Canis lupus familiaris: one gene and its partners. The protein of the gene in region 1 interacts with the protein of each later gene in a biochemical or structural test. Links are inferred from orthologs where the notes say so. Each region holds a gene or a part of one and is shown in the gene's direction. Other genes may lie near its edges. The genes, in order: SRPK2, RBM15, PRPF38A and LUC7L.

Region 1 (5,170 bases):
TTCCCACCAGCAATGTACAAGGATTCCAATATCTCAATATCCTTAACAAGACTTATTTTCCATTGATTTATTTGTTTTTTTTCATTTTTATTATTATTTTTTTATCTATTTGTTTTTAAAGATGTATTTATTTGAAAGGGTGAGAGTGAGTGGGGGAGGGGACAGAGAGTCTCAAGTAGGATCCCCACTGAACGCTGAGCCTGTGGGACTCAACATGGGGCTTGACATCCGGCTTGATCTCAGAACCCATGAGTTCATGATCTAAGCCAAAACCAAGAGTCTGACACTTAACCGCTTAACCAACTGGGTGATCAAGGCAACCTTTATTTTCTATTAAAAAAACATAGTCATCCTAGTAGGTGCAAAGGGGTGTCTCATTGTGGTTTTGCTTTGCATTTGTCTAAGGAAATTGAGCATCTTTCATGTACTTGTTGGCTATTTGTATATCTTTGGAGAAACGTGTATTCAAGTCCTTTACTCGTTTTGAACATAGACCACTTTTTTAAGTAGAAAAGAATAAAAGCTGGCCTTACTATAGAAAAATGATTAAATGTAACATCACGAATAATGAAACAAACTGACATCATTTCCTTTCTGTTGCAACATACTGAGATGGACACAATATCATCCATATAGCGTACTTGCCAAAATTATTTAACTTGACTTTAACAGGGAACAGATGACTACAAACTGAGGAACATCCTGCAGAACAGTGAATTGGATTCCTCAAAAGAAGTCAATGTTATAAAAGAGAGAGAAAAAAAAAAAAAACCCAACAACAACCAGGGATTATTCTAGACTAAAGGAGTGTAAAAAAGACATGGCAATTAAATGTAATGGACGATTCTTGATTGTATCCTGGATAGGAAAAAAGTCAGCTACAAGGGACATTTTGAAAATGTGAATATGGCCTCTGTATTAATATTAAATTTTCTTGGTATGATAATGGAATTCTGATTGCGTAGAATATCCTTGTTCTTGGTACTTATTGACATGTTAAGGGTAAAGAGTAACGATGCAAAAACTTCAATAATTCAGCAAAAACGAAACAAAGGAACTTCCATAGGCACACATACACACAAGGAAAGCAAATGTGATGAAATGTTAAAAATCGGTGCATATGGGTTAATACGGGTGTTCATTATATTTTTCTCGTAACTTCTCTGTAGGGTAGATCTTTTTGAAAATAAAAAGTTGAGAAAGTACTTAACTAGAGAGAACAAACTGATGGTTACCAGAGGGGAAGTGGGTGGGGATGGCTGAAGTAGGTGCCGGGGATTAAAGAGTCCACTCCCTCTGGGTGATTAAAATAAAAACTTAAAAAAAACATGTTGAGAAAGTAAAAGTTCCATCAAGTCTGAGCAGCGCTTTCAGTTCTTTGGTTTTAGCATCTTTAGGATCAGACTAGTTACTTTGGTCAGCTAAGAACACAGTCGTAGAACCAGAGAGAGTCCGCGGTGGGGCGGATATCTTTCCAAGACACTGTAATTACTTAAACAAACAAAGGAAGAGAGTGCAGTTGTCATTCGGACCCACTATCAGCTTGATTCCCATCTTTATCAGGCGGCATGATCCATGGAAAGGCTTTGGAGTCAGCTAGGCCTGAACTTGCACGGTCCCTCCGCAAACTGTTCAACTACTTTGGACGTCGTCGCCTCCTCGCTGTAAGACGTAGGCAACAACTGCTTGGTGCGATTGTTGTGTTAAATCGTCAGACGCTTGGTGTTTGGCGAGCTGGGCTTTAATTCAGGTGCAAAGAACCCAACAAAACAAAACAACGACTTCATCACGCTTTCCATGCCGTTTGCATCTTTTCCCTCATTACGCTCCAAGCCCGCAGTGGGGTTAGGTGAGGCGGAAGGAGGAGAGGACTTCCCCAAGGTCACACGCTCGTGCGGGTCCCAGGTGTCCCCGCTCCCGGCCCTGTGCCCTTTCCACAGCCGCCAGAGGGGAGCGGGCGGCGCTCATGGGGATGCAGGGATGTCGGGGAGCAAAGGGGGCGAAGAGGCCGCGCGAAGAGCGGTGGTGCGAGACCCGCGGGGGCGCCGGCCGAGGAGGGGCGCGCGGGGAGCGCGGAGAGGCGGGGGGCCCGGGCCGCGGTGCGTGGGGCGGAGGCCGGGCGGCCGCGGCCGCGGGGGCGGGGGGCCCCGGACGCGGGGGGCGGGGGGCGGGGGGCGGGGGCCGGGCGGCCGAGGGGCGGGGCCGGGGGCCGGGGCCGGGGCCGGGGCGCGGGGGGCGGAGGCCGGGCCGCAGGCTGCGCGGCCGGGGCAGGTGGGCGGGGGGCGGGGGGCGGGGCGGGGCCGGCGGGGGCGGGGCGGGGCGGGGGGCGGGGCCGGCGGGGCGGGTCTCGGCGGCCCCCCGCGGGGAGCAGCGGCAGCGGCGGCGGCGGCGGCGGCGGCGCAGGCGCGGTGGCCGCCTCCTCCCGGCTGGCGGAGCGAGTGGAGGAGGCTGCAGCCCGGCCCGGCTCGGCTCCCGCGTCGCCGCCGCCGCCGCCGCCGCCGAGCCCCCCGCCCCCGCTCGGCCGCGTCGGGATGAGCTCCCGGAAAGGTGAGTGGCCCGCGGCGAGCCCTCCTCCCCGCCGCGCGGCCCCTCCGGCCGCCGGCCCGACCGTTAATGGGTGTCTTCTCTTTCCCCAGTGCTGGCCATTCAGGCCCGAAAGCGGAGGCCGAAAAGAGAGAAACATCCGAAAAAGTGAGTCCGTGCCCCGCGCCCCCGGGCCCCCGCCCCCCCGCCCCCGCCCGGGCAGGGCAGCCCGCGGCCGCGCAGGGGAAAGTTGCGGGATCCCGGGGTCGGCGGGCTCGTCCCCCCCCCACCCCCCGGGGACGCGGGCGCTCGCCTCTGCGCCCCGGCGGGCGGCCCGGGGGGAGGGGCGGGCGGGCGGGCGGGGGAGGGCGCGTGCGGGCCCGCGGTGCCCGGCCGAGCACCCTGGACCCTCGGACCCCGGACCCGCTCCCGCTCCCCCGGCGGCCGCCCCTCCCTGCGCGCCGCCCGCCGGGGTCGCTGGCGTCCCCGCCCCGCCGCGCCGCGTGCGGGCGTGAGGCTGCTGCTCGGCTCGCACCTGGGCACCGGCGCCCGGGAGCCGTGGGCTCCGCGTCCTCCGCGTCCTCCGCGCGCTCCGCGTGCTCCGCGTGCTCCGTGGGCTCCGCGTCCTCCGCGTGCTCCGTGGGCTCCGCGTGCTCCGTGGGCTCCGCGCGTGTGTGCGCGCGCGTGGGGCCGGCCTCCTCTTCCCCCCCGGCTCCCCGCCTCCCGGCCTCTTTGCGGAAAGCCGGAGCCGGGTGTCCAGCGGCCGGCCCGGGGGTGCCTGGCGCCAGCCCAGCTCCGAGACCTGAGCGCGCCGGCGCCCGCCGGGTCTCCAGTCGAAACTTTGCGCTCGGGCCGAGCCGCGCTGCGCCCCCGCCGCCCCGGGAGCTGGCGGGAGGGGGTCCTGCTGGAGCCGTGCCAGCCCCCGCCCCGCCCCGCCCCGCCCCGCCCCGCCCCCCAGTCCGCGCGGACCCGAGGGGGAGCCTTTCCTGGAGAGCCGCTCGGAGACCGCGCAGCGCCCCCGCCCCTGGCTTTCGGCGTCTTTCGCTCCTGGATGCGTGGCTTCTCCCTTCCTGTGGAGCGAGACACACTCCGTGGCATTGGGGGTCTTGTAGGGAACGGCGGCCCGTGATCATCCTCAGGACCGGGTCTCGGGGGATCGCCCTGCGGCGTTCCTGGGCTTCCCCCTCCTCGGCGCCTTGGTCTCTTGCCTGCAGAATTTCCTGCCCTCCCTGAACACTGCCCTGAGGCCTCACCAGCGCGGTGCTGCTATCATGACAATTTTTCTGTTCACTCGAGATGGGATAGGGCTTGTAAAGCATTTTCAGGGTTTTCCAAAATGGGCATCTCGCTATAGTTAATGCCTTTTCTTGGAAGACAAAAAAAAAAAAAAAAAAGATTATATTAGAGTGACGGAAACATACTTATGAAGGAATTGAGGAACTGGTGGGTAAAAAAAAAAAATCTGATACTGGATTCTTAAAAGGTGAAAACGGGATGGACGCGGTAGTTGGAGATGCTTTACAAAATGACTTGGCCAGCTTTCAAGTCAGGGCCTTAAATTTGGGATTTCCTTTGAATGTCGGAAGATGAAGCCCGCGAGTAAGGAAGAACTGTAACGTTTAGGATCCTGAGTATTGGGTTTTAAAAACAACCTTAAATACAAAGCATTTATTTTCACATATTGCATTATGTTTAGAAATGTAAAAGGGAATTGGAAAAAAAGCGCGTCCTCGGTTTTGGGAATGGCTATGTGTGTGTATACACGTATGTAATGTGTATGTTGTATGTGGGCATGCGTGTAGAAAAGCAGTTTTAGTTAACTAAGTCAACACGTATTTCATATTTTCATGTTTCAGGGAATGACTATCCTAATGGCCAAGAGCCTTTTTTGGTCTGCTGCAGTTTGGATTTATGTGGTATGTTTATAAAGAATTAGCGTATATCCACAATATCCAGTTTTTGCTCTCAGAGATAACTGTACCTATGTGGTAAGATTTGAGGGAAAAGCCCCCCAGGCAGTGGCAGAGTGACTTGAATGGTTTGCAAGGTAATTAACAAGAGACCAGCCCAATTATATAACAGATTAATGGGGTGCCATTTTTTGCTTAATTCTTTGAATTAAGACACTATTTTAAAGGAATGCTTGATATGATTTATTCACATATTCAACAAGTATTTGCGTGCCTTTTCTTGGAGTTGGTGATGGAGCTTTGAACAAGAAAGTCAAAGCTCCTCATGAAGGTTATATTCTGTGGATATTAGGGGGACCACCTAGGAAGATGACAAATCAGGATGGCAACTTCAGGTAGTGCTAAGGGATAGGGACCAAATTAAGATGAGGTGCCTTAAGTGATAGTGATGACATTTGAACACTGCGCCAGGCACGGTGCAGATAGCTTTACACACCTCTTATCCCTTGTGACAACACTAGAAGGTAGGCACTGTTATTAGTTACCATTCTACAGATGAGCAACTAACATTTCCAGAAACTAGAATGAGGAGGAGGAGATGGGAGTGTGGCAGAGGCCTTGGGGAGGACTGGACTAGGAATGTTAGAAGACCCTAAAGGTCAGGGTGACTGGAGTGCTGCTGGAGAAGGTGGGGCCATGGGAGGATGAGAGCAGGTAGGGCCTTGCCCTGTAGGCCA
Region 2 (5,354 bases), on another chromosome or scaffold:
TCGTATGCTCCTTCAATCCCTGTTATGTTGGATAAACTATACTGATTTGGGCATCTTTGATCATTCAGTCACCTATGCAGGTCAATTTAAGGCAAAAATAGTCACTCTGGAGCCTGGTTTATTTGGATTGGCTATTATATTAAATAATCAGATAAGAACTTAACTTCAATTTTGTGTTGTATTTAATATAACCTTGAAAGAGATTAAAATCCCCTAACCATGTAAAGCTTTTTGTCTTGTGCTTTTACAAATAATATGTTGGCTGTTGTTGTCTTTACTCCCTAACATATAAATTTTTATCTTTAAATATCATTTCTCCCTAAAAGGAATCAGATCTCCTTGGAGAAATGGCTAATTTCATGTCTGGGGCAGGAAATGTACCAGATAAGCCTGGAACAAAATAACGAGGGGGAAGAGTGGGAAGAGAATGTATGCTAAACAAGATTGACATGGGTTGCTAATTGTTGAAATGGGGTGTTGGGTACATGGGAGACCTTTATATTCTTTTTTTTTTTTTTAAAGATTTTTAAAAAGTTATTTATTCATGAGAGACACAGAGAGGGAGGCAGAGACCCAGGCAGAGGGAGAAGCAGGCTCCACGCCGGAAGCCCCACGCGGGACTCGATCCCGGGCCCCGGGGTCACGCCCTGGGCCGAAGGGTAGTTAGTTGCTCAACCACTGAGCCCCCCAGGCGGCCCAGTATTCTATTTTTTTTAATTTTTATTTATTTATGATAGTCACAGAGAGAGAGAGAGAGAGAGAGGCAGAGACACAGGCAGAGGGAGAAGCAGGCTCCACGCACCGGGAGCCCGACGTGGGATTCGATCCCGGGTCTCCAGGATCGCGCCCTGGGCCAAAGGCAGGCGCCAAACCGCTGCGCCACCCAGGGATCCCCCAGTATTCTACTTTTTTATTTTTTTCTATAAAAGTAGTTTAAAGGAATCTAAAAATAATTGCTATTTTAAGAAAACGAGATGGTAATAACATACACGTGGTAAAACAAGTTTCCTTTTAATAGAAGAAATGCTAGAATGACATGCAATGACAAGCTGAGTCTCCCGCCAGACCGTCCAGCCCCGTCTCAGGGCGATCTTAGTGGCCACTCCCTAAGTACCGCCGTGAAGTTTCTATGGAAAAATCAACAAAAACACAGGCAGCGCCGCCGCCATGTCCCGTGGAGAACCCCCCGCGGCAGTACGTCCCACACCCTGGCCCACTCGCGGGCTTTGGCAGCTGGTCCTGGCACGCGGGGGAGCGTGCGCCCGCTGCCGCGACGTCCTCACACCAGGCTTCCTCCATCCGAGCAAGAAGCGAAATCCCTATCGCTTCCCTCGACGTCATGCGGGGAAGGGGGGCGAAGGCAGAGCCGGACTCTGCAGCCCCGGCCCTGACGCGGCTCCCAAGCTCGGGTTCGGGCAACAGCCGTGTCCCCCGAGAAGGGCCTCGGGGTAGGCGGGTAGGCGGCGGGGAGGGCCGGCCCGGGCTTCCTGGCCCCCCCTCCCCCCCTCCCCCGACGCCCGAGCACCTGCTCCGGCTGCCGGACTCACCTCACGACGGGCGGGCCCCGGGGGGTCGGCGAGGCGGCGCGAGGAGCCGCGGGGCGCACGCCCACGGCTGCACGCGGACGTCGGCCCTCGCCCGGTGACGGGGCGCGACGTAGGAAGAGCGAACCGACCGACGTCGCCGGGCGGCGGGGAGCGCCCAGGAGGCCGGCCCGGGCGAGCCCCACGGCCTGCGGCGCTCTCCGGCTGCCGCGGCCGGCCTCCTGGGGACCGCGCCCCGAGGGCTCGGTCCCCGCACAGGCCCCGAGCGGGCGGCCCAGGCACACCCACGGACGCCGCGGGACCCCATAAGTGCCCCGTAAATGCCCGTGGACGGAACGCCGCGAGCGGCCGGGGGCGGAGCCAGCGCCGTGTCAGCCTCTCGCGACGTCCCGGTGACGCCGCACGGCGAGCGCGCGGTCCGCTCTTTCACCTTCAGTCAGCCTCCTCCGTGTACGGCCTGCCCCTTTAAGCGGATGACGGACAGCTATTTCAGCCTATCAACTCCCTCGTCAGCATCCAATCAGATTTAAACTTCTTACAGCCGTCCGAGGAGTTGGAAGAAGAGGTCGAGAAAGGGAGCGCTTTCTGTCTCTCGCGAGAATGTTGTAAGCGGGCCTCTCAGGAAAAGCGCCAGAACAGATGGCCCGACTTCCCAAATAGTGAGTTAAAGGACGGGGTCGGAAACCAATGAAAGGAATGAGGAGGTGGGATCACCGCTTTTACCGCGCCAGAAGTACCGTTACAGGGCAGACTTTTCGCCCAATCAGCGCCTCCCGAGTTTGGGTCAGGTGACCCTACAGTGCGAGGGGCGGAGCTGCGGCCTGGCGCGAGGAGCCGTTAAGATGGACAACAAATACGACCAATGAGGTACTCGGACCCGGGCGTTGGGAGCCCAATAACAGCGGGCGGGCGGGCGCCTTTCCGGAGCGCGGGGAGATGTGAAGACGGACGGGACGTTTTCCCAATGAGCCTGTAGCAGAGAGGAGCCAGCTGACCAATGAGGGCCGCGGGGCGGGAGCCTCTGCCGCGGCGGAGTCCAAGATGGCGGCGTGCGGTTCCGCTGTGTGAAACGAGCGCGGGGCGGCGGGCTCAGCATCTCCGCGGAGACGACCTCCGGCGACCCGCAACAATGAAGGGGAAGGAGCGCTCTCCGGTCAAGCCCAAACGCTCCCGCGGTGGTGAGGACTCGACTTCCCGCGGGGAGCGGAGCAAGAAGTTAGGGGGCTCTGGTGGCAGCAATGGGAGTAGCAGCGGAAAGACCGACAGCGGCGGCGGGTCGCGGCGCAGCCTCCACCTGGACAAGTCCAGCAGCCGAGGCGGCAGCCGCGAGTATGACACCGGCGGGGGCAGCTCCAGTGGCCGCCTGCACAGTTACAGCTCCCCGAGCACCAAAAATTCCTCGGGCGGGGGCGAGTCGCGCAGCAGCTCCCGGGGTGGAGGCGGGGAGTCACGTTCCTCCGGGGCCGCCTCCTCAGCTCCCGGCGTTGGGGACGGCGCGGAGTACAAGACGCTGAAGATCAGCGAGTTGGGGTCCCAGCTGAGTGACGAGGCGGTGGAGGACGGACTGTTTCACGAGTTCAAGCGCTTCGGTGATGTAAGTGTCAAAATCAGTCATCTCTCGGGCTCTGGCAGCGGGGATGAGCGAGTAGCCTTTGTGAACTTCCGGCGGCCAGAGGACGCGCGGGCGGCCAAGCATGCCAGAGGCCGCCTGGTGCTCTATGACCGGCCGCTGAAGATCGAGGCGGTGTACGTGAGCCGCCGCCGCAGCCGCTCCCCCTTAGACAAGGATCCCTACCCGCCGTCGGCTGGCGTGGTGGGCGCCTCCGTGGGCGGACACCGGCACCCCCCTGGAGGCGGCGGCCAGAGATCGCTTTCCCCTGGTGGCGCGGCCCTGGGGTACCGAGACTACCGGTTGCAGCAGCTGGCTCTTGGCCGCCTGCCCCCCCCGCCTCCGCCACCGTTGCCCCGTGAGCTGGAGAGAGAGCGAGACTATCCGTTCTATGAGAGAGTGCGCCCGGCGTACAGCCTGGAGCCCAGGGTGGGAGCTGGAGCAGGTGCTGCTCCTTTCCGAGAAGTGGATGAGATCTCACCCGAGGACGATCAGCGAGCTAACCGGACGCTTTTCTTGGGCAACCTAGACATCACTGTGACAGAGAGTGACCTAAGAAGGGCTTTTGACCGCTTTGGAGTCATCACAGAGGTAGATATCAAGAGGCCCTCTCGGGGCCAGACCAGTACCTATGGCTTCCTTAAATTTGAGAACCTAGACATGTCTCACCGGGCCAAACTAGCAATGTCTGGCAAGATCATTATTCGGAATCCTATCAAAATTGGTTATGGTAAAGCTACACCCACCACTCGCCTCTGGGTAGGTGGTCTGGGACCTTGGGTGCCTCTTGCTGCCCTGGCACGAGAGTTTGACCGATTTGGCACCATCCGCACTATAGACTACCGCAAAGGTGATAGTTGGGCATATATCCAGTATGAAAGCCTGGATGCAGCTCATGCTGCCTGGACCCATATGCGTGGCTTCCCACTTGGTGGCCCAGATCGTCGCCTTAGAGTAGACTTTGCAGATACAGAACATCGTTACCAGCAGCAGTATCTGCAGCCTTTGCCCTTAACTCATTACGAGTTGGTGACAGATGCTTTTGGACATCGGGCACCTGACCCTTTGAGGGGTGCTCGGGATAGGACACCACCCTTACTCTACAGAGATCGTGACAGAGACCTTTATCCTGACTCTGACTGGGTGCCACCCCCGCCCCCAGTTCGTGAACGCAGCACTAGGACTGCAGCTGCTGCTGTGCCTGCTTACGAGCCCCTGGATAGCCTGGATCGCAGGCGAGATGGCTGGTCCTTGGACCGGGACAGAGGTGAGCGAGATCTGCCCAGCAGCAGAGACCAGCCTAGGAAGCGAAGGCCGCCCGAGGAGAGTGGGGGCCGGCACCTGGATAGGTCCCCTGAGAGTGACCGTCCCCGAAAACGTCACTGTGCTCCTTCTCCCGACCGCAGCCCGGAATTGAGCAGTAGCCGGGATCGCTACAACAGTGACAATGATCGATCTTCTCGTCTTCTTATCTTGGAAAGGCCCTCTCCAGTCAGAGACAGGCGAGGAAGTTTGGAGAAGAGCCAGGGTGACAAGCGAGACCGTAAAAACTCTGCATCAGCTGAACGGGATAGAAAGCACCGGACAACTGCTCCCACTGAGGGAAAAAGCCCTCTGAAAAAAGAAGACCGGTCTGATGGGAGTGCGCCTAGCACCAGCACTGCTTCCTCAAAGCTGAAGTCCCCTTCCCAGAAACAGGATGGTGGGACAGCCCCCACCACTGCAGCCTCTCCCAAGCTCTGTTTGGCCTGGCAGGGCATGCTTCTATTGAAGAACAGCAACTTTCCTTCCAACATGCATCTGTTGCAGGGTGACCTCCAAGTGGCTAGTAGTCTTCTTGTGGAGGGCTCAACTGGAGGCAAAGTAGCCCAGCTCAAGATCACTCAGCGTCTTCGTTTGGACCAGCCCAAGTTGGATGAAGTAACTCGACGCATCAAAGTGGCAGGTCCCAATGGTTATGCCATTCTCCTGGCTGTGCCTGGAAGTTCTGACAGCAGGTCCTCCTCTTCCTCAGCCACATCAGACACTGCCACCTCTACTCAGAGGCCACTTAGGAACCTTGTGTCCTATTTAAAGCAAAAGCAGGCCGCTGGGGTGATAAGCCTTCCCGTGGGGGGCAACAAAGACAAGGAAAACACCGGGGTCCTACATGCTTTCCCACCCTGTGAGTTCTCCCAGCAGTTCCTGGATTCCCCTGCCAA
Region 3 (4,687 bases), on another chromosome or scaffold:
TAAAGCCAACTCCTTTTCTGTGTTTGACCTTGAAGATGCTTCAAATCCAACCTGAGAAGGATATCATTGTGGAGTTTATAAAAAATGAAGATTTCAAGTGAGTGAAATGTTGACTAGCTAATTTAAAAGCTTCAATTTCAGTGGGCCAGAATTTGGCTTCGGTTAAGAGGAGTGAAAGCAGTGTATCTTGTTTCAACAGAGTTCTACTCTAGGATTTTGGCTCCTGAGGTCTCCAGTGTGTATTTTGTCTGTTCTGATTGTATTGATCTTCTTTACATTCTCAGTCCTGGTAACTGCTCCTCTCCCCCAGAAAGCATTTCACAAATGGACTGAAAATATATTAAGCAGGAGTGAGCACTTAGTGTGTTCATAGCACTGGATGCTCAAAGATGAAGAAAACTACATCATGTGGTAGATAAGCAGGAGAACTTTGGTGTAGGTGGAGGGAGGTTCATGTCCAGGCTCTGTTACTTATTATGACCTTAGAGAAGTTTGTGAGCTTTACTTTCTTTACTTGTAAATGGAGATGATGATACCAGCTCAAGGTTGATAGGAGGGTTAAAGAAGATAGTGCTGTATATCTCACAACACAGTGCCTTTTGGTAAAGACTCCCAAAATGTCAGCTGCTCATATTCTTGTATTACTTATTCTCAAGGAACTCACAGACAAATATAAGAGACAAACATAGTAGCTAATTTTGTACCATCCTCTAAGGGATTTACATATAATCATTTACTTAACCTTCACAACAACCCTGCAAAATTATTATCTCCGTTACACAAGGTAGGAAACTTAGGACAGATTAATTTCCTTGAGGTCAGATACCTAGTAAGTGGTAAAGCTGGCTTCAGTGTTCAAATTCTTTACTATTCTGTTGTGTTTGTCATATAAAGAAACTGTTGAGTTTCAAATGCCTACTCGTTATTCCAAGTGAAGAATTTGAGTGGGTAGTTGGATATAGGAGAAAAGAAAAAGGAATCTTACAAAACAGTAACAGCTAGAAAATAGCTTTCTTACTATGTGCTATATGCTACGCTTAGCACTTTACACACATTTCTTACTAAGCCAACAAATTAGGCACAATCATCTCCATTTTACAAGAATTGAGAAAGCAAGTAACTTGCCTAATATAACAAAGTCAATAAGTAATGGAATCCAAATTGCAACGCAGATGACTTTTTTCCAGAACTAGCACTCTGTGCTGCCTAGCAACAATTATATATATATTCAAGTGTATGTATATTATTTCTTGTACTATTAGTAAACATATTTTATATGTTGTTAAATTCAGTATCTCATTTGATTCTTAGAGTAATCCTTTAAGGTAAATTGGTTCCTATTTTCCTGTCATATATAGACTCTAAATAGACTCTAAATATGATAGACTCTGAAAGTTGAGCAACATGTCCCAAGTTCCTGCAGCCAGTAAGTGGTAGAATGGGAACTTGAACCCAGGTTTCCATATTTTAGCTTTCTTTCTGCTCCATGTTGCCTCAAAATTGCAGTTCTCTCATCGCCAAAGAAGAGAAAGAACTTGTTCATCCACTGCTTTCATGAGAAAAGCCAGGTATGCAACTCAAGAACAAGAACTTTTTAGGATGGCCTACTGTTTGTCTTCTTCTGTCAGGTATGTCCGCATGTTGGGAGCACTTTACATGAGGCTGACAGGCACTGCAATTGATTGCTACAAGTACTTAGAACCTCTGTACAATGACTATCGAAAAATCAAGAGCCAGAACCGAAATGGGGGTGAGTATGGTGCTAAGGGTCTGGACCTTCCTCCCTGAACCAGTTTTTATTTCACCAATATTTCTGCTGCTTTTTTTTTTTTTTTTTAAGATTTTATTTATTTATTCATGAGAGACAGAGAGAGATAGAGAGGCAGAGACACAGGCAGAGGGAGAAGCAAGCTCCATGCAGGGAGCCTGATGTGGGACTCGATCCCGGGACTCAATCCTGGCACTCGATCCTGGCACTCCAGGATTACGCCCTGGGCCGAAGGCAGGCGCTCAGCCACTGAGCCACCCAGGGGTCCCCATATTTCTGCCTTCTTGTTGTAACATTGTGAATGCCCATCATCGTTGTTGTTACGGTCTTCATTTCAGGTTCTTCACCTCCTGCATGGAGTATTCCATTAGACTCCTAGCTTCCTGTTAGTCTTGCCCAATCTGCCCTTGTCTGCCTACTTTTCCAACTACATCTTATATCAGTCTCAGTCTTGCATCATGTACTTTTTCCAATGTACTCCATCCCATCTGATCTGCCTCCAGAATGACCTCGTAAAAGCCTTACTCAGACCTCCCAAAGTTAGTTTTCCATGTGTTACATCATCACGGTTATTATTTTTTTTAATATTCTATTTATTTATTCATAAGAGACACAGAGAGAGAGAGGGGCAGAGACACAGGCAGAGGGAGAAGTAGGCTCCAAGCAGAGAACTCGACATGGGACTCGATCCCGGTCTCCAGGATCACGCCCCGGGCTGATGGTGGCGCTAAACCACTAAGCCACCTGGGCTGCCCTTTTTTTTTTTTTTTTTTTAAGATTTTACTTATTTGAGAGAGAGAGAGAACAGGAGCAGGATGGAGGAGGAGAGGGAGAAGCAGATTTCTCGCTGAACATTGAGCCCAACATAGGGCTCAGTCCCAGGACTTTGGGATCATGACCTGAGCCAAAGGCACACACTTAACTGAGCCACCCCAGTGCCCCATCATCACAGTAATTTTTAGTGGCCTCTTTTTTTTTTTTCCCCAAGACTTTATTCATTGATTCATGAGAGACAGAGAGAGGCAGAGACAGAGGGAGAAGCAGGCTCCATGCAGGGAGCCCGATGCAGGACTCGATCCCGGGACTCCAGGACCATGCCCTGAGCCAAAAGCAGATGCCCAACCGCTGAGCCACCCAGGCGTTCCTTCTTCTCTAGCACTGTACTTCCCACTGCAGTATAAGTTAAGTGTACTCAGACTTACATAGGAATCCCACAGTGGGCAGCTCCATACATTTTACAAAGATATTTTTTGTGGAAAAGGCAGATTCAGGGTAATGCAGTCAAAACCTTTTTCTTCTTAGTGTCTAACTAGAATTTGCTTTTTACCTCTACATGTAACATTAAGAAATAGAAAGCCAAGAATTTGTTATTTTACTTTAAACTTTTATTAACTTATTACCTTGTTTATTGAATACATAATTAAGTGCCAGTATCATGCCAGGTACTGTGCTACATACTGAAAATAACATGGTGAACAAGATGGACATGGTTATGGCCGTCATGGAATTACTTATGTTTATATTATGTTAAAAACTAAGATGGGGTTACTCAACCTATTGACAATTTGATCCAGATGATTCTTTGTTATGCGGAGCTGTCCAGCCCATTGTAGGATGTTTAGCCATATCCCTGGCCTCTATCCACTAGTTGTGGGTGACAAAGTTAACTGCTGCTTGAGAACCACTGAACTAAGGTAATGTTTACTATAACAATTCTAAAAAGCTTTTGCTTTACCATATAAGATACATGCTGTATATTTAGAAATATAGCGGGTTCACATGAGAAATTGTACTTGAGTTATATAATCTATTCAAGAACATCACCGTGGGTGGCTTGGTTGGTTAAGCATCTGCCTTCAGCTCAGGTCATGATCCCAGGGGTCCTGGGAGTAAGCCCCGTGTCAGGTTCCCTGCTCCGTGGGAGCCTGCTCCTCCCTCTCCTCCCTGCTCTTGCTCTCCCTGTCTCTCTTTCTCTCAAAAAAAATAAAAAAATAAAAAAATAAAACTTTTTTATAAATAACATCACTCCTGGGCACTTGGATGGCTCAGTCAATTAAACATCTGCTTTTGGCTCTGGTCATGATCCCAGGATTCTGTAATTGAGTCCTACATCGGGCTCCCTGCTCAGTGGGGAATTTGCTTGTCCCTCTACCTCTCCCCCCTGCTGTACTCTCGCTCTCTTAAATAAAATCTTAAAAAAAAAAAATCACCCCTATACCACTTAGATCTGTTTGTGCATGCTTTTGTGTTGGGTCTCCTGCTAATTGGGACAGCTTCATTCATCTCTTTATCCTCAGCTCCAAGAAGAGGCCTGATACAGATGGCCTCAGTAAAGGTGAGCTGAATGAATGAGGTAAGTGATGACAAGGCTATGAATGACTGTAGTTTGACCCCAGGTCTGATTAGTAATCCCTTCTCTGTAACCACACTGAGTGGTTTTATTAGTAAATGTGTAGGGAAGGGAGGCTGCAGAGGATTCACACTTTCTATACCAAGTATTTTATAATAGAGTCTTGCACTTTTATTTTTTGACTATATAAATTTATTTCCAAGTTGCCTGAGCATATGATTGTTCTTTCAGAGTTTGAACTGATGCACGTAGATGAGTTTATTGATGAACTGCTGCACAGTGAGAGAGTCTGTGATATCATTCTACCCCGGCTACAGGTAAGAGATAAAGGTCTCTTATCAGAGTTGCCCTTCTTTCCCCAAGACAGGGACAGAGGAGTACACATACACAATAAAACACTGAAGCCTATGATCTCAGGGGTCCTCTTAACTAGTCTTCATACCTATGAAAAAGGGGATTGGGAGAGAAAAACAGAAGTAAAGTATTTGAAGAGTGGGGCTTTAAAAGGGAGTAATACAGGGTGCCTTTGTGGCTCAGTGGTTGTGTGTGTGATGGGCTCAGGGTGTGAT
Region 4 (4,687 bases), on another chromosome or scaffold:
TTCGATTCTGTCTTCATCCTTTACTACACATGTGTGCTTCCCATAAACTCTGTGTGTGCGTGTTGTAGGTTTAAAAGCTTTGTGCTTTTAAAATATCCCACATCAATGCTGCCAACTGTGTATTTTTTTCTCTCTCATTATTCTCAGCACTGTTTGTGAGGTCTCTGCCTGTTGCTCCATACAACTTCCTTCAGTTTATTGCTGTAGGGTTCCGTTTCATGAACATGTGACTGTCCATTGGCAGTTTTCTGGTTTCTTATCTTCAAAGACAGTTCACAGCAAGTATCCTTGCACTTGTTTGTTGGCACACGTATGAGCATGTTCTAGGACATATGCCCAGAAGGGTTCCTGGTAATGGCTTGCACCTGTCTTGCTTTCGCAGCTAATTCAGTTGCATTCTGTTAGTTGCCCCAACATCATTGCCTACCAGCAAGGTATGAGAGTACCTTATTTTTTGACTTTGCCAGTTTAGTGAGTGACATTGTGTCCCATTGTAATCTGCATTTGCCAGGGAAGTTTGAACATATAAACTAATGGAAGATCCCTTTAAGAATCAGTGGCTGTGAGATCCCTGGGTGGCGCAGCGGTTTAGCGCCTGCCTTTGGCCCAGGGCGCGATCCTGGAGACCCGGGATCGAATCCCACGTCGGGCTCCCGGTGCATGGAGCCTGCTTCTCCCTCTGCCTGTGTCTCTGCCTCTCTCTCTCTCACTGTGTGCCTATCATAAATTAAAAAAAAAAAAAAAAGAAAAGAATCAGTGGCTGTGGGGGATCCCTGGGTGGCTCAGAGGTTTAGCACCTGGCCTTTAGCCCAGGTCGTGAACCTGGAGTCCCGGGATTGAGTCCCATGTCAGACTCCCCACAGGAAGCCTGCTTCTCCCTCTGCCTGTGTCTCTGTTTCTCTCTGTGTCTCAGGAATAAATAAATAAAATCTTAAAAAAAAAAAAAAAACCTGATGAGAGTTCATTAGAATGCAGTTGAGTAGAAAATTTGATTATTTAGGGACACCTGTGTGGCTTGGCGGTTGAACACTTGCCTGTGGCTCAGGGCATGATCCCGGAGTTCCGGGATTGAGTTCCGCATCAAGCTTCCTGTGTGGGGCCTGCTTCTCCTTCTGCCTGTGTCTCTGCCTGTTTCTCTTTTTCTGTGTCTCTCATGAACAAATGGATAGAATCTTTAAAAAAAAAAAAATCAGTAGCTGTTGGAATGCATTTCTTAAAACCTGGGTTTTGGTGGAGTGTTTTTTTGTTTGTTTTTGGTTTTGTGTTTTAATTCATGTGTTTTTGTTTTTTAATTCATGAGAGACCGAGAAGTAGGCTCCATGCAGGGAGCCCGATGTAGGACTCGATCTCGGGACCCCAGGACCACGCCCTGAGCCCAAGGCAAGGGCCAAACCTCTGAGCCACCCTGGCATCCCCAAAACCTGGGTTTTGAAGGCATGCTCTGACTTTGGCACCAGCACCAGGAGCCATGTCCTGCTTCGTTTGTTCTTCATTTTATCTGTTCTGACGAGTGGCTGCCAGAGGGGGTGCATTTTGGTCTGCTCTGTTGGACATGTTCTTTATTGAAGAGAGTGTCTAACTTCTTTGTCCATTAGTATTTTAGCTTTTAGGGCAGCATTTCTGGACTTTGGGACGTAGTCTTCGATGAGGAGCTTTTGTATGTTGCTTGTTTGGTTTGGTTTTTGTGTTTGTTTTATGAAGGCCCCCTTTGAAGAGTCTCCCTTCTTGATTCTGTGGTCCTCCTAGCGCTCTCCACTGCACATAACTGAGACCTGCCATTCCTGCTGGCCTCTGAGAACACTGCATCCTGCTTGTCTGAGAGTTTTTGAATGTTCCTTATTGCTTTGAAATCATGATTCTTAGTTCATTTCATAAATAAATGATGGAAATTGAATCAGTTAAAAATATCTAAAGCTTGTAAATGATTCGATTTCTGTTATTTAAAAGTCACCTCTGTAGTCCTTTCCAATATTTCCATTTTGGGGGTTGAATATTTGCTTGCAGTTCTGTGTACCTCACTTTGATTACTCTGTTCTCGTTGTCCAGGAAGAATACAGAAATTCCATGCCTGCATCCAGTTTCCAACAGCAGAAGCTGCGTGTCTGTGAGGTCTGTTCAGCCTACCTTGGGCTCCATGACAATGACCGTCGTCTTGCAGACCACTTCGGGGGCAAGTTACACTTGGGGTTCATTCAGATCCGAGAGAAGCTTGATCAGTTGAGGGTACGTTGATGTATTGTGTTTCTGGAGAAACCCAAGAAGTCTTGTGATTGTCTCCATATTTCTTGACTTTTAGAAAAACTCATGTTTTGATCTTTTCTAAGAATGTGCCTTGAGTTTTAGAGTGAAATATTCAGATTTCATCACTTCATTCACACAAGAGAACTAAGGTCTTAATCCAAAAGGACCTTGGATATTTGTTTAGTCTGTACTTCTTGTGCAGGAAAAAACGCAGAATCCAGTCTTCTGGTATAGAGAGCTTTTGCACAGCTCTGAAATAACTTGTATTTGAAGATGGGAAGAGCCAGTAGTCTCATTTTTATCCTTAGGCAAAGGTGGATGTGTGGTTAGGTTAGACAGAGATGAGGGTTGGGCAGGGGCGGACGTGTGGAGAGTGGTTAGGCTGGACAAAGATCACACTTCTGGCCCTTGCCTTTGAGCCTCCTCGGGAGGTTGAGAATGTGGTGGGGCTTTTAGGATAGTGCTGCTCCACCCCTGCCTACCTTTATTTCTTCCTCAAGGCTCCTTTTTTTCCTGGGTTAGACTGTAAAACTTACCTTGGATACAGAACACTAAGAAGGAAGGGTGAACATATGTTTCAGATAGTTTGGATTACTTTTCAGACTGGTGGAATCTTCCCTGCTGCCTACAGGGACCACTAGGATGTTGCACTGGGAACTGTGCAGCCCTTCCCTCCAGACACATGACATTTGATGGAAAGACAGACACATGGCACATGACTGGGACACTGACAGTCAAGGCAGAGAGCCTTGTGTGCCCCTAGAGGGAGCAGGGGACAGAGCCCTGCACTTGAGGGGTTGCCAGTAGGTGAGGTGTGAGTCTGGCACAGGGACTGGAGTTGGGGGGACAGCCACTGGACTGAAAATCACATTTTGCTCCTGTACTCCCTATAGAATATTGAAAAGTGATACTTTGTTACCTTTTTTTTTTTTTTTTTTAAGATTTTATTTATTTATTCATGATAGAGAAAGGCAGAGACACAAGCAGGCTCCAAGCTGGGAACCTGACGCGGGACTCAATCCCGGGTCTCCAGGATCATGCCCTGGGCCAAAGGCAGGCGCTGAACCACTGAGCCACCCAGGGATCCCTACTTTTTTTTAAATTATTTTTTTGACTGTGTGTGTATGTGTGTGTGTGTGTGTATGAGAGAGAGAGAGAGTAAGAGAGAGAGAGAGAATGCAGAAGGGAAGGGCAGAGGGGGAAAGAATCACAAAAAGAATCCCAGGGAGAGGGAGAAGCAGATTCCCACTGAGCAGGGAGCTTGATGTGGAGCTCGATCTCAGGACCCTGAAATCATGACCTGAGCCGGAGTCAGACACTTAATGGACTGAACCACCGAGCTGCCCCTTCCATTTCTCCTTTAAACTGTATTTCCATTTCATATCACCCCATAATTTTCTCCTGATACTTTTTTATACATGAAAACCTTTTACTTCTTTCTTTCTTTTTTTTTTTTTTTAATTTTTATTTATTTATGATAGTCACACAGAGAGAGAGAGAGAGAGGCAGAGACACAGGCAGAGGGAGAAGCAGGCTCCATGCACCGGGAGCCCGACGTGGGATTCGATCCCGGGTCTCCAGGATCGCGCCCGGGGCCAAAGGCAGGCGCCAAACCGCTGCAACACCCAGGGCTCCCTTTTTTTTTAAATTTATGATAGTCACACACACAGAGAGAGAGAGGCAGAGACACAGGCAGAGGGAGAAGCAGGCTCCATGCACTGGGAGCCCGACGTGGGATTCGATCCCGGGTCTCCAGGATCACACCCTGGGCCAAAGGCAGGCGCCAAACCGCTGCGCCACCCAGGGTTCCCCTTTTACTTCTTTCTTAAGACATACTTCTCCAACAGAGATGAAACTACATTGAAATTTTTCCCCTGAAGCCTTAAAAACTTAAGTTTTTGTTTTTTAAAGATTTTATTTTTAAGTAATCTCTGTATGCAACCTGGGGTTGAAACTTAAACCCTGAGATCGAGAGCAGCTGAGCCCGCCAGGCATCCCCTTAAGGTCTTAAGTATTAACTAGATCTAGAAAGCGTGTTTTGTCATTGCAGTTACAACTTGTTCAAAGTTGACCAGAACAACACAAATATATTAATAGATTTTGATTATAGCTGTTACACTAAGAACAAAAAATGTGTCAGGAAGTGCACCTCTAAACAGTAAGAAGCAGGAGTGTTCTGGGCCCTAATCTGAGATGGCTTCACTTACAGTGGTCCCAGAGGTACTCAAACCTCCAGGCCACATGCCCAGGTAATAGTGAGGCAAGGCCTTTTTTGTTACTGGTGGAAGGACAGTGTCTTGGAAGTAGGGAGGTTTGTAAAGGTCTTAATGCCAGACCATAGCCCTGTGCTTGGTCACATCTTCTTTAGGAATGTGTGTGGAAGTTGAGGGGCTGAAACTCCCCATCTTTTTTTTTTTTTTAGGATTATTTATTTATTTAAAAAAAG

The links.
Region 2: of the proteins of SRPK2 (region 1) and RBM15, one has a biochemical effect on the other in vitro, tested with the Homo sapiens proteins (2 studies listed by BioGRID and IntAct). The link is inferred for Canis lupus familiaris from reciprocal best matches to the Homo sapiens genes SRPK2 and RBM15.
Region 3: of the proteins of SRPK2 (region 1) and PRPF38A, one has a biochemical effect on the other in vitro, tested with the Homo sapiens proteins (2 studies listed by BioGRID and IntAct). The link is inferred for Canis lupus familiaris from reciprocal best matches to the Homo sapiens genes SRPK2 and PRPF38A.
Region 4: of the proteins of SRPK2 (region 1) and LUC7L, one has a biochemical effect on the other in vitro, tested with the Homo sapiens proteins (2 studies listed by BioGRID and IntAct). The link is inferred for Canis lupus familiaris from reciprocal best matches to the Homo sapiens genes SRPK2 and LUC7L.

Annotation. Positions count from the first base shown.
Region 1 is NC_049239.1:15,286,750-15,291,919, forward strand, and holds the start of SRPK2 (SRSF protein kinase 2), read left to right. Parts: upstream 1-1,563; 5' UTR 1,564-1,568; coding exon 1,569-1,664; intron 1,665-1,951; exon of another isoform or gene 1,952-1,966; coding exon of another isoform or gene 1,967-2,099; intron 2,100-2,452; exon of another isoform or gene 2,453-2,531; coding exon of another isoform or gene 2,532-2,547; intron 2,548-2,636; coding exon 2,637-2,691; intron 2,692-4,379; coding exon 4,380-4,439; intron 4,440-5,170. UniProt on the Homo sapiens protein: Serine/arginine-rich protein-specific kinase which specifically phosphorylates its substrates at serine residues located in regions rich in arginine/serine dipeptides, known as RS domains and is involved in the phosphorylation of SR splicing factors and the regulation of splicing.
Region 2 is NC_049227.1:42,107,727-42,113,080, reverse strand, and holds the start of RBM15 (RNA-binding protein 15), read left to right. Parts: upstream 1-2,209; 5' UTR 2,210-2,541; coding exon 2,542-5,354. UniProt on the Homo sapiens protein: RNA-binding protein that acts as a key regulator of N6-methyladenosine (m6A) methylation of RNAs, thereby regulating different processes, such as hematopoietic cell homeostasis, alternative splicing of mRNAs and X chromosome inactivation mediated by Xist RNA.
Region 3 is NC_049236.1:9,001,146-9,005,832, reverse strand, and holds part of PRPF38A (pre-mRNA-splicing factor 38A), read left to right. Parts: coding exon 1-97; intron 98-1,628; coding exon 1,629-1,750; intron 1,751-3,977; exon of another isoform or gene 3,978-4,349; coding exon 4,350-4,435; exon of another isoform or gene 4,436-4,560; intron 4,561-4,687. UniProt on the Homo sapiens protein: Involved in pre-mRNA splicing as a component of the spliceosome.
Region 4 is NC_049227.1:40,768,003-40,772,689, forward strand, and holds part of LUC7L (putative RNA-binding protein Luc7-like 1), read left to right. Parts: intron 1-2,046; coding exon 2,047-2,223; intron 2,224-4,687. UniProt on the Homo sapiens protein: May bind to RNA via its Arg/Ser-rich domain.